Linked DNA regions of Canis lupus familiaris. The protein of the gene in region 2 purifies or fractionates together with the protein of the main gene of each other region. This does not show direct contact. Links are inferred from orthologs where the notes say so. Each region holds a gene or a part of one and is shown on either strand. Other genes may lie near its edges.

The links. Proteins that work in one complex are often made in the same cells at the same time.
Region 1: the proteins of HDAC11 (region 2) and GCFC2 purify together in Homo sapiens (co-immunoprecipitation; 3 studies listed by BioGRID and IntAct, counting the BioPlex papers as one, with this or other methods). This does not show direct contact. The link is inferred for Canis lupus familiaris from reciprocal best matches to the Homo sapiens genes HDAC11 and GCFC2.

Annotation. Positions count from the first base shown.
Region 1 is NC_049238.1:48,140,357-48,145,376, forward strand, and holds part of GCFC2 (intron Large complex component GCFC2), read left to right. Parts: intron 1-3,268; coding exon 3,269-3,493; intron 3,494-4,408; coding exon 4,409-4,506; intron 4,507-5,020.
Region 2 is NC_049241.1:3,834,980-3,839,999, reverse strand, and holds part of HDAC11 (histone deacetylase 11), read right to left. Parts: intron 4,255-5,020; exon of another isoform or gene 4,060-4,254; coding exon of another isoform or gene 4,054-4,059; intron 3,482-4,053; coding exon of another isoform or gene 3,421-3,481; coding exon 3,304-3,420; intron 2,186-3,303; coding exon of another isoform or gene 2,143-2,185; intron 406-2,142; coding exon 329-405; intron 156-328; coding exon 59-155; intron 1-58. UniProt on the Homo sapiens protein: Responsible for the deacetylation of lysine residues on the N-terminal part of the core histones (H2A, H2B, H3 and H4).

The DNA of each region.
Region 1 (5,020 bases), on a different chromosome or scaffold from region 2:
GATCGAGTCCCACGTCGGGCTCCCGGCATGGAGCCTGCTTCTTCCTCCTCCTGTGTCTCTGTGTCTCTCTCTCTCTCTCTCTCTCTCTCTCTCTCTCTCTCTCTCTGTGTGTCTATCATAAATAAGTAAATGAATAAACCTTTAAAAAAAAAAAACGAATTTTCTGTGATGATAATAAAATTTTTATATTTTCATTGTCTGGTATATTAGCCACTAGCCACATGTGGCTATAAAGCTCTTGAAATGTGGCTGATACAACTAAGAAACTGGATTTTGAATTTTTAAATGGTCTCATATGGCCAGTGTGTACTGTATTATACAATGCTGCTATAGAAACTAATGGATTAGAAAGTATAAGCCAGTAGTTGTAAAGTGTTAGCAGGATTGCACGTGCAAGGAGAGAGGACAGTGTTTACAGATGTATGGGATAGTTTGTTTTTTTTTTTTAATTGAAGTTCAATTTGCCCACATATAGCATAACACCCAGTGCTCATCTATGGGATAGTTTTTAATTATCATGTGACAGAGGTGTTACTGGCATGTAGTGCTCTGGAGGCAAGAAATGATAAATGTCTCACAGAGTACAGGACAGTTCACAGTGAAGAATTGTCCCTCCTCAAAAGCTCATTTTAGAAACCCTGAAAGTTGAAGATTTGTCCTGTGAAAAACTTTTTTTCTTCTGGAGAAGAAAAGATGAAGGAATGCGAGAAGTCTGTGGATTGGTTTGTGGACCCAGGAATGCAGTTATTTTTTGTTCCAACAGTGTAACTATTAGAATGATCCAATAGTGGAAAATATCTCTCTTGAGTTGTTGCAGATACTGCATGTTACACATGGGGCATGATATTAACCTGTATTCCTTAAATAAGATGATGTATGTGAAAATTATTTAACTTATAAATCTGCATGTTTTTATTGTAAAGCAATATGCTAACTTTATTCATTCCACATGTGGCGGGCATCTGCTTTGAGCTAGGTGTTGGGTATAGACAGGACAGGATAATAACTCTTCTCTTGAACTTTTCCTTCTTTATTGTAGCTTGAGAGAGGATTAGTTTTATTTAGTATTAGTATTTTACTAGTGAGTCTATTGCCTATGATTTATTAAGCCCCACCAAGTCATTTGCAGATGAATCACTTCCAGTATTTCTGCTTTTGTATTCATACACTTGAGTATTTGAACCTAAGTGTATCATCTTAACCCTGGTTTTACATTAAAATTTCCTAGACGGCTATTAAAACATAGTGCTGCTCAGCCCCACCTCAGATCAACTGAATCTGAATCTCTGGGATGAGGAGCTTGGGTACCAGTAGATTATCAAGCTTCCTAGGTGACTCTAATGTGTAATGAGGAGTCAAGAAATGCTCATGTAACCTGTCGTGAAGGTTTGAGTCTTGAGTCTAGGTTATATTTAGCTGTTCCTCCCAGCTTTAAAGACATGTCTTTTTATCTTAGTCCACATCACATTAAGATCATTAAACCAGGAACACAAACTATGGAGCCTTCTAGTAGATCCCTGCAGTGCTTCATAATCAACATATTTGGGGGGGTGGGGGGTAATTATTCAACTAGTTAAAAATCAAGTGCACTATGTGATTTTCCCCACACATTTTAATGTAATTCACAATGAAAACATGCATCTGTTAAATGCTTTGGGAAAATGAAGAAACATCTGATCTGCATCATTTCCCTGATACTAATCTATAAATTAGTACTAGTCCATAAAAAGTAAATCACTTGATTCAATATTCCTTGTTCCTTTTTTTTTTTTTTTTTTTTTTTTTAAGATTTCATTTGTTTATTTGAGAGAGAGCACACATACTGGTATGGCGACAGGGAGAGGGAAAAGAAGAGAATCTCAAGTAGACTCTGCACTGAGCACAGAGCCCCACGCAGGCTCAATCCCAGAACCCTGAGATCATGACCTGAGCCAAAAACAAGAGTTGGACATTTAGCCATTTGAGCCACCAAGGCGTCCCTGATATTCCTTGTTCTTAGTGAATATATTTTGATTTTTAGTCATCACCTGTTACTGTTTCATAATTTAAGAACTTGTTTTCCTTAGCACCAATGTCAAGCATATTGGTCAGTAATTTCTATATTCTCTTTTTCCAAAAGTTGGAACATTTCCACATCTCCAAGCATAGGACATCTTTTTTTGTTTTGGTTATTTTTCAAAGAATTTGGAACAGTTTGTGGTAAAGTTTAGAACATTTTACTTGAGCCTTGGTCGTTTGACATCCCTAATTAACATTGTGAAGTGCTTGAAATAGTGAAAATTTCCTTTACCATTTTGTTTACCTTAGTATTTTGCTTAAATACTAGAAAGTTTTTCCAGAAAGTAAAGATAAATTTCAGCTTAGATCATACATGAAGAAACTTGTTTTGAATTGGAATAATACACGTTAATGTGGTTTATATGCTATAAAATAAAACCTAGAAGCACCTGGGTGACTCAGTTGGTTAAGCTGCCTTTGGCTTAGGTCATGATCCCAGAGTTCTGGGATCGAGGCCAGCATCAAACTCCCTTCTCAGCAGAGAACCTGCTTCTCCCTGCTGCTCCCCCTGCATTTGTGTGAGTGCGTGCTCTGTCAAATAAATAAAATCTTAAAAAAAAAAACAAAAAAAAAAAAAACTAAAACATGGGTCTATTAAAAGACAGCATTTAAATATTTTTCACCTGATAAATGAATCTGATTATTTTCTTTATAATTTTTGTAACTTCTCATTTATTCATGTGGAAATCACCACAGGATCTTGATTTAGCTGTGTGCTGGTTTTAGTCTCTTTCTCACTTCCTGTATGCCTGGATACCACAAGGAGAGGAGAAGGGCATAATACAGCATTCTTTGTGCATCAGATTGGCCTGTACCCCATCATTCGAACCTCTGCAGGTCTCACAGACTAACCAACTCTATGCTCAGCTCTATCCCGCTTCCCAACCCTCATAATCTGAGAGCTTCTAGAAATGAGAAATAGTCTTCAGCAAAAAGTCAGCAACAACATCTGATGAGTAAGAGAGCTAGAAGATACATTGAAGTGGTATCGTTATATTTTCTGATACTTCTAGATTAGGTTCGTTTTCTAATTTACATTAAATCTCTATAAAAGTAATCTTATTGATGTAGGTTTTGAGTTCTACAGTTACATTAATACCAGAATTGGAAAAAATTGAAAAGACACTGCCTTTTTATTTTCTTTAAATACAAGGAATATGTATTTCTGTTGGTGTTTGTTTTTCATTGTCTTCCTCTTTGTTTCTTTTAGTAAATATCCCTGATTCAGCTTTTATTCAGGAAGCTCGCAGAAAACGTGAATTGGCCAGGGCCCAAAATGACTTTATCTCTTTGGATGTAAAACATACCTCTACCATTGCTGAGATGAAGAAAAATAGTAATGAAGATCCTGAGAGTGAGCCTGATGACCATGAAAGGAGAATACCATTTACCCTAAAGCCTCAAACCCTTAGACAAAGAATGGCTGAAGAAACAAGTACATACTTAATTTATTTACAATATATAAACATTGAGGGATTTTTCACCCAAATATAATATTATGTTAAAATTTTCCATAAAAACAGAATGTAGTATCTCATACTTTAAAAGATGTTAGAAGTTGGTTTTTATTTAATACAAATTTGGTAAATGACATCATAGTCTCTAAAAGATCTATTAAGATGTTATTATCAAATAATGTGTAATAACATTATTATCTGACCTTGATCTTTTTTGGTAAGTTAAAAAAAATTGTACAGTGTCTTATTTTTGATATTGAAAACTTTCATTGTCACCTTTATAAAGATTTTTTTTTAACATGGAAGCATCTATAGGGATTTTAGATGTTATTTATTAAGCTCTCCCCTGCTCTGATGAAAAATTTCCTCTACCAATAATCCTTAGATCTAATAGGACTATTTTCACATTCGTTATTTATAAACAATTACATGTTTTATCAAAATTTTTATCATTTTGAATAATATTTTTTCAGAATGAGACTTTTGGTTTCCTCATAACCCAGAAATTAATTTTCAATATTTAGATTCTAGGATAGAATTTATAATTCCTAATGAGGATTATCAAATGTTTCATTTTTTTTCTAAGTTTTTCCCCCCCATATATGAAACTGCAGTGTTTTCATTGGGACGGTTTGTTGATGAGTACAGGTGCCCAAATTCAAATCCCAGCTTCAGCACATTTTCCAGACAAGTTATTTAATCTCTTGATAGGAGTTTCCTCATTAAAAGAAAGAAAAGGCTGTTAGTAGTGCTTTCTTCCCAGAATTACTGTGAAGAATAAGTTAACACATATAAAGCTGCTAAGCCAGTGCATTATAAGCCCTTCAAAAATGTTAGCTGATGCTAATAGAATGGAAAAATATAGACTACTCATGAATTTTTTTTTTTCCTAGCACCCAGAAATGAAGAAACAAGTGAAGAAAGTCAGGAAGATGAAAATCAAGATATTTGGGAACAGCAGCAAATGAGGAAAGCAGTTAAAATTACAGAGGTAGTAATTTTTTATACCATATATATTAATTTTCTGTGGCTGCTGTAACAAATTATCACAAACTTGGTGGCTTAAAACAAGAGACATTTATTCTCTTACAGTTGTAGAGGCTAGAAGTTTGAAAACAAGGTGTTAGCAGGGCTGTGCTCCCTCTGAAGGCCCTAGAGGAGAATCCTTTCTTGCCTTCCAACTGTCACTCCAGGTGTTCCTTACTTTGTGACTATATAACCCCTGTCTCTATCTCCCTCTTTATATGGCCACCTTTCCTGTACCTCTGTATTCTATTTTATAAGAATATTTTTCATTGGATTTATGGCCCACTTGGATAATCCAGGATATTCTCATCTTGAGATATTCCACTTAATTACGACCAGAAGGACCCTTTTTCCAAATAAGGTGATATTCACAGATTCTGGGGGTTAGAACATAGACTTGTTTTTTGTGAGGCCACCATTCAACTTATTATACCTTATATATTATGTTCTCTTCCTACTAAATGTTAAATATCTTCTAC
Region 2 (5,020 bases):
CTGGGGCAGGGCTGAGCCTGCCGGAACCAGCCATTGCAATCCCCATCTTTATTTCTACCTGCTCCTCACTCTGGGGGAGCAGTGCGCTCCCTATATTGTTGACAAATAGGCTGCTGTCTCCTGTCCCTGCCATTGTTGGAGGCTGTGCGATCTCCCTGCAGAACAGGCCATGCAGATGAGCAAGTGACTGCCTGGGCAACCTGCACGCTTCCTCTCCTCCTGGGACTCAGTTCCCTTCTCTGTCATGTGGAGAACACCAAACTGGGGGTGGCGGGGGGACCCCCGGGAGGGCTCCTGGAGGCGAGTCCCCACGTGCTCTCGGGCGCACCTTGATGGCCAGTGTGATGTCCGCGTAGGCGCAGAAGCCCCCGCCCCGGTCACTGGAGCAGTGGTGGAAGCCTCCACCTGCAGGAGGGCAGACGCGGTGTGGTCAGGGCCAGGCACTCCCCTGCCCCTACATCCTGCCCGTATCCCAGCCCTGCTCAGCCAGGCTCCGGGAACTCCAGATTGGCAAAATGAACTGAGAACCCCGAGTCATGAAGACAGCTTTGTCATCAAGGCTATCCCTGCCCAGAGTACGAAACCTCTCAGGGTGGTCCTGACAAGTCACTCCCCCCCCACTACCCGTCACAACCCCGAGGGGCCCAAGGCAAAAAGTTGTTCCTTGCCTCTGTAGGGCCAGGCCACCTCTATGTGACTTCCCATGCCTGGAAGGGGTGGTGGGGCTATGGGGGCCCGTTTACCCTGGGATCACCCACATTCTGCAGGTGGTAGAAAGTGATGGCCAGGAGGGGCACCTTCTGTTGGTCATGGGCACTCATGGCAATGGGGAGGCCCTGGACACCAGGATCCGGCCCCTGCTTCTACCCCACCCTGAGAGCCCATTGCCCCGCAACCCCTACAAAAAGAACTCGAGTTTCAGGGGCCTCTGAAACTGAGCCCAACAACTGTCCCACCCAGCAGTTCGAATCCAGGACCCATGGCTACAAAGGACTCGTCTCTTTTCACACCAACAGGTTGTCAACAGATCTTAATAATGAGATAACAGCCAATTGTGAACTCCCAGACTGGGCACAGAACTTATAGAAACCTCCCTACAGCTCCAAGTAGGGGCACTAGTACCATCATCTCCATTTTACAGATGAAGAAACTGAGGCACACAGAAACTCAGCACCTCGCCTGGGATCACACAGCTCACTAACGAGAGCCCTCTTGAGCCAAGATTCAAACCCAGGCTGGATCCGGGCCTGGGCTCTTAACTGTCAGGTCACAACACCTTCCACAGGAGAAGGGCTTCCCGGGGTCTTCGTGAGGACCCTGCTGTAGACGTGCAGAGTGTGCCTCTTTCATTCATCTGTTCAGCAGTCTATGATAACATCACAGTTATGCCAGACCCAAGGCTGGGTACCTGGCGATGCCAACTTGGAAAAGCCCCAGCCCCTGGCCTTGCAGAGCTCACAGGCAAAGTAGGGGTCCTCTGCTCCAGACTCTGAGCAAGCCACCAGGCTGCTCCCCATAGCTGTGTCCTCGTCAGTACAGTGGGATCAACAACAATGATGCCCAGCTCAGATGAGAGGCCAGACAGCAAAGAGGTGTGCTAACTGTGAAGTGCTGCGCCTCAGTGAGGGACAGATAAGGGACAAGGAAGATGTGTGTTGCCATCCCATGAGCCAGGCTTGCAGGGGAGTCCGGGGAACCTCAGACTATCAGCCTTCAGGTCCCCGAGGAGGACATGGTATTGACCCAGGCCTGTCTGCCCATCATGTGACCAAACCCCTGCGGGTGGTCCTGGGCCCCAGGAGGCTGATGGGAGATTTTTCAGAAAAGACTGAAATGCTGCAGGTTTGAGCCCCATTCAGGTCTGCCCAGGCGATGATGCAGGCTTTTGCAGAGGAGTGAGCTCCTTGTCACTGGAAGTATGCAAAGGCAGAGCTGGGGAACTCCTTTAGAGAAGGATTCCACACCAGATGGAGGCACTGGTTGATCCCTCCCAGACACCAGATGGCTGCATACTGTCCCCCATCCCACTTAATAAGGAGGTTCAGGGTGGCTCTGGAGGCACCAGAGCCTTGCCTCACAGAGCAGCTACCTGGCCCTCCCAGCCCCCAGGACCCAGCAGGCCAGGCTGGCCAGGGCACTCACCCACATTGATGGCCCAGCCTCGCTCCATGGCCAGCTTCCCTGCCTTTGGAGACAAGCACAGGGTGAGAGGCACAGGCAACTGTTTCCCTCACTCACTCATTCACGGATTCGCTCCTTCATTCCATAGACACTAGGTCCAGTCAGTGGGACGTAGGGCTGACCTATAAGGTAGGGTTCAGGCGGTACCCACCCTCCAGCAAGCTCGGACTCAGGCTTGGAAGTAAGTACCGGGTTGGCTGGCATATGAGATGTGCAGTACATCAGCCCCTTTGCAATTATGCAAAGAAACTGGAAGAAATCAAAGTGGTTATGATCACATGTGAGCTGACAATGATCTTAACAGGGCCTTCAAAGGGAAAATAGACTTTTTTTTTTTTCCCATGGAAATATGGCAGCCTGAATACCAAAATCCTGTAAGAAATCATCATTTGGGGGTGGGCAGTAATACCTCAAGAAATAAACAAAAAAGTACAAATTTGCAAAGCTAGAAAGAAAACTATCAGGATCAACAGGTCTTGATCCAGCCCTGGGTTAGATCATCCTACATTTAAAGCTGAAATGTTGGGATGCCTGGGTGGCTCAGTGGTTGAGCGTCTGCCTTTGGCCCAGGGCATGATCCCGGGGTCCAGGGATCGAGTCTCACATTGGGCTCCCCACAGGGAACTTGCTTCTCCCTCTGCCTGTGTCTCTGCCTTTCTTTCTGTGTTTTACAGACAACTACATAGGGGATGTGAAACCTCATTTTGCTGCGAGTGCTCTTTACTGCCATACCCATGATGCCAGGTGAGCAGAGCATGACCCATCACTGAAGTCATGGGGGTTTGCTTTTCCACCTTGAGTTGAGTATATTGGTGCCAGTTTGATTATATACTCTCTGGGGCATAGGGACATGTCTTTATATACCAGCAAATACGGTAACTCCAATAGGAGATGGGGGGTGGGCGGAGGAACAAGGAATTCAGTGTCCCCAAGGCAGCAGAGCACGTGGGAGAGGCTTTGGGAGAAAAAGTCCTTGTTGCTGTGCCTGGAGGACTATTTAGGATTTTATGCAATTACCAAGAGGGAGGAGCGTATTCCAGACGGAGAGCTGGGGAGGGGGGGAAGCCCAGAGGTGTGGGGGTCCCAAGCCCAGCAGGTCCTTCTGCCAGCCTCCCCACCTACCATGATGGTTCCTCCTGTTTGGGTCCGAAGGGGCTTCAGCACCTTCCTCTGCACAAGGAAGTTCGGGAGGAAGATGACAGGGGGGATCTCTGTGATGGTCGCAACAGCGAAGGACCACTGCGGAGGGAGAGACGCAGGCCATTGGCCTCCCACTGCTGGCAGAGCTCAGAGGCTGCAGCTGGGAAATCCGATTCCTTGTAGTGCCGGTTTCAAGGTGCCCTGGAACTTCCAGTCTGGCAGACTGTCAAACTGGTCAGAAATGAGAGCCCCCCACCCAGCTTTGGGCTCCGGAAAGAGCAGTTTCCCTAAAACTGTCGGTCCCTTCCTCTGTGCTCCACAGCTCTTGGCTGCCCTCCTGTGCCCACAACAAGAGCTGCAAGTCACAGGGGTTGCAGACCCAGCACTGGCCCAGCCTGCCCACTGTACAAAAGGAGGGGACACTGAGGCCCTGACCTGGGAAGATCTTTCTTTCCAAGGTCACACAGTGAGTCACTGGCAGCGTCGGCACTGGAAGCCCAGGTCTCCTGCTCTCCTGGCACAGCGTGACCTCTTCATGCACCGGGAATCAGATCTCCCTCCAAAGGGGGATCAGGCCCTCATCTCGGCTGCTGAGGCAGGAGGGTCCAGGGTACCCAAAAGGCATTTGCCCCCAGATCAGAACACAGCCTTCCCTATGACCCTGCCCAGGCCCCTGGGCAAACGTCCATGCACCCAGATCCTGAACCATCTCCTGCCTGGCTGGGGATGTACCTGCATCTGCGTCGTCTGCTCTCACCCCAGGCAGGACCTCAGTGGGGCCCAGGGCCCTCTGCAAATGTTTACTGAGTGTCTGCTAGGCAGCAGGTGCCAAGGTGGAGACTAGTGAGGAGGCACTTAAATGCGACAAAGCCTTCGATGGAGAGCACGGTCTGTGTCCGGGTGGGAGCAGAGAGGCATTCTGGAGGCAGTGACCTTGAAAGTGAAACAAAGTTGCCCAGATATCAGGGTCAAGGTGAAAGGAAAGACACCTGCTAGCAGACGGAAAGCAAGTCCAAGTTCCCGAGAAGTTGGGTACGGCTGGGACAGGACTGTGCCTGTCACATAGGGCCTGGGCTGCCAGAGACTGTTCTCAGACAGCCTCGCCAGAGCAGCAGAGAGCCATCAGACAATGCTTTCCCAAGCTGTTCTGGCCACACCAGGAGGACCATGTAGGAGAACTCCAATAGAAGCAGCCACTGCCCCTCAGGGGGCGGGGGGAAGCCAGAGATGATGAGGGCCCCGGAGAGGTGAGAGGGGAACAGTTAACAGACAATACGAGAGGGATAGGCAGACAGAGGGGTCAAGGATGCAAGGTTGGAACCACAACACTCCACACCTAAAGGGTAAAGCCCAGAAGTGTAGCCCACTGGGACAATTGAGGGCTGTTCTGGGACAGGTTAGGGCAGGCCAGAGGTAGGGCATTCAGGTGGCCAGGCAGAGAGAAGTTTCAGGAAGGAATAAGCAAGGAGAGGTGCTGGGACGCCTGGGTGGCTCAGCAGTTGAGCATCTGCCTTCGGCCCAGGGCATGATCCTGGAGTCCAGGGATCAAGTCCCACATTGGGCTCCCTGCGAGGAGCCTGCTTCTCCCTCTGCCTGTGTCTCTGCCTCTCTCTGTGTCTCTTATGAACAAATAAATAAAATATTTTTAAAAAGAGAGAGAGAGGTGTTGAAGACAGGGAGCACTGCCACTGGGTTCCCC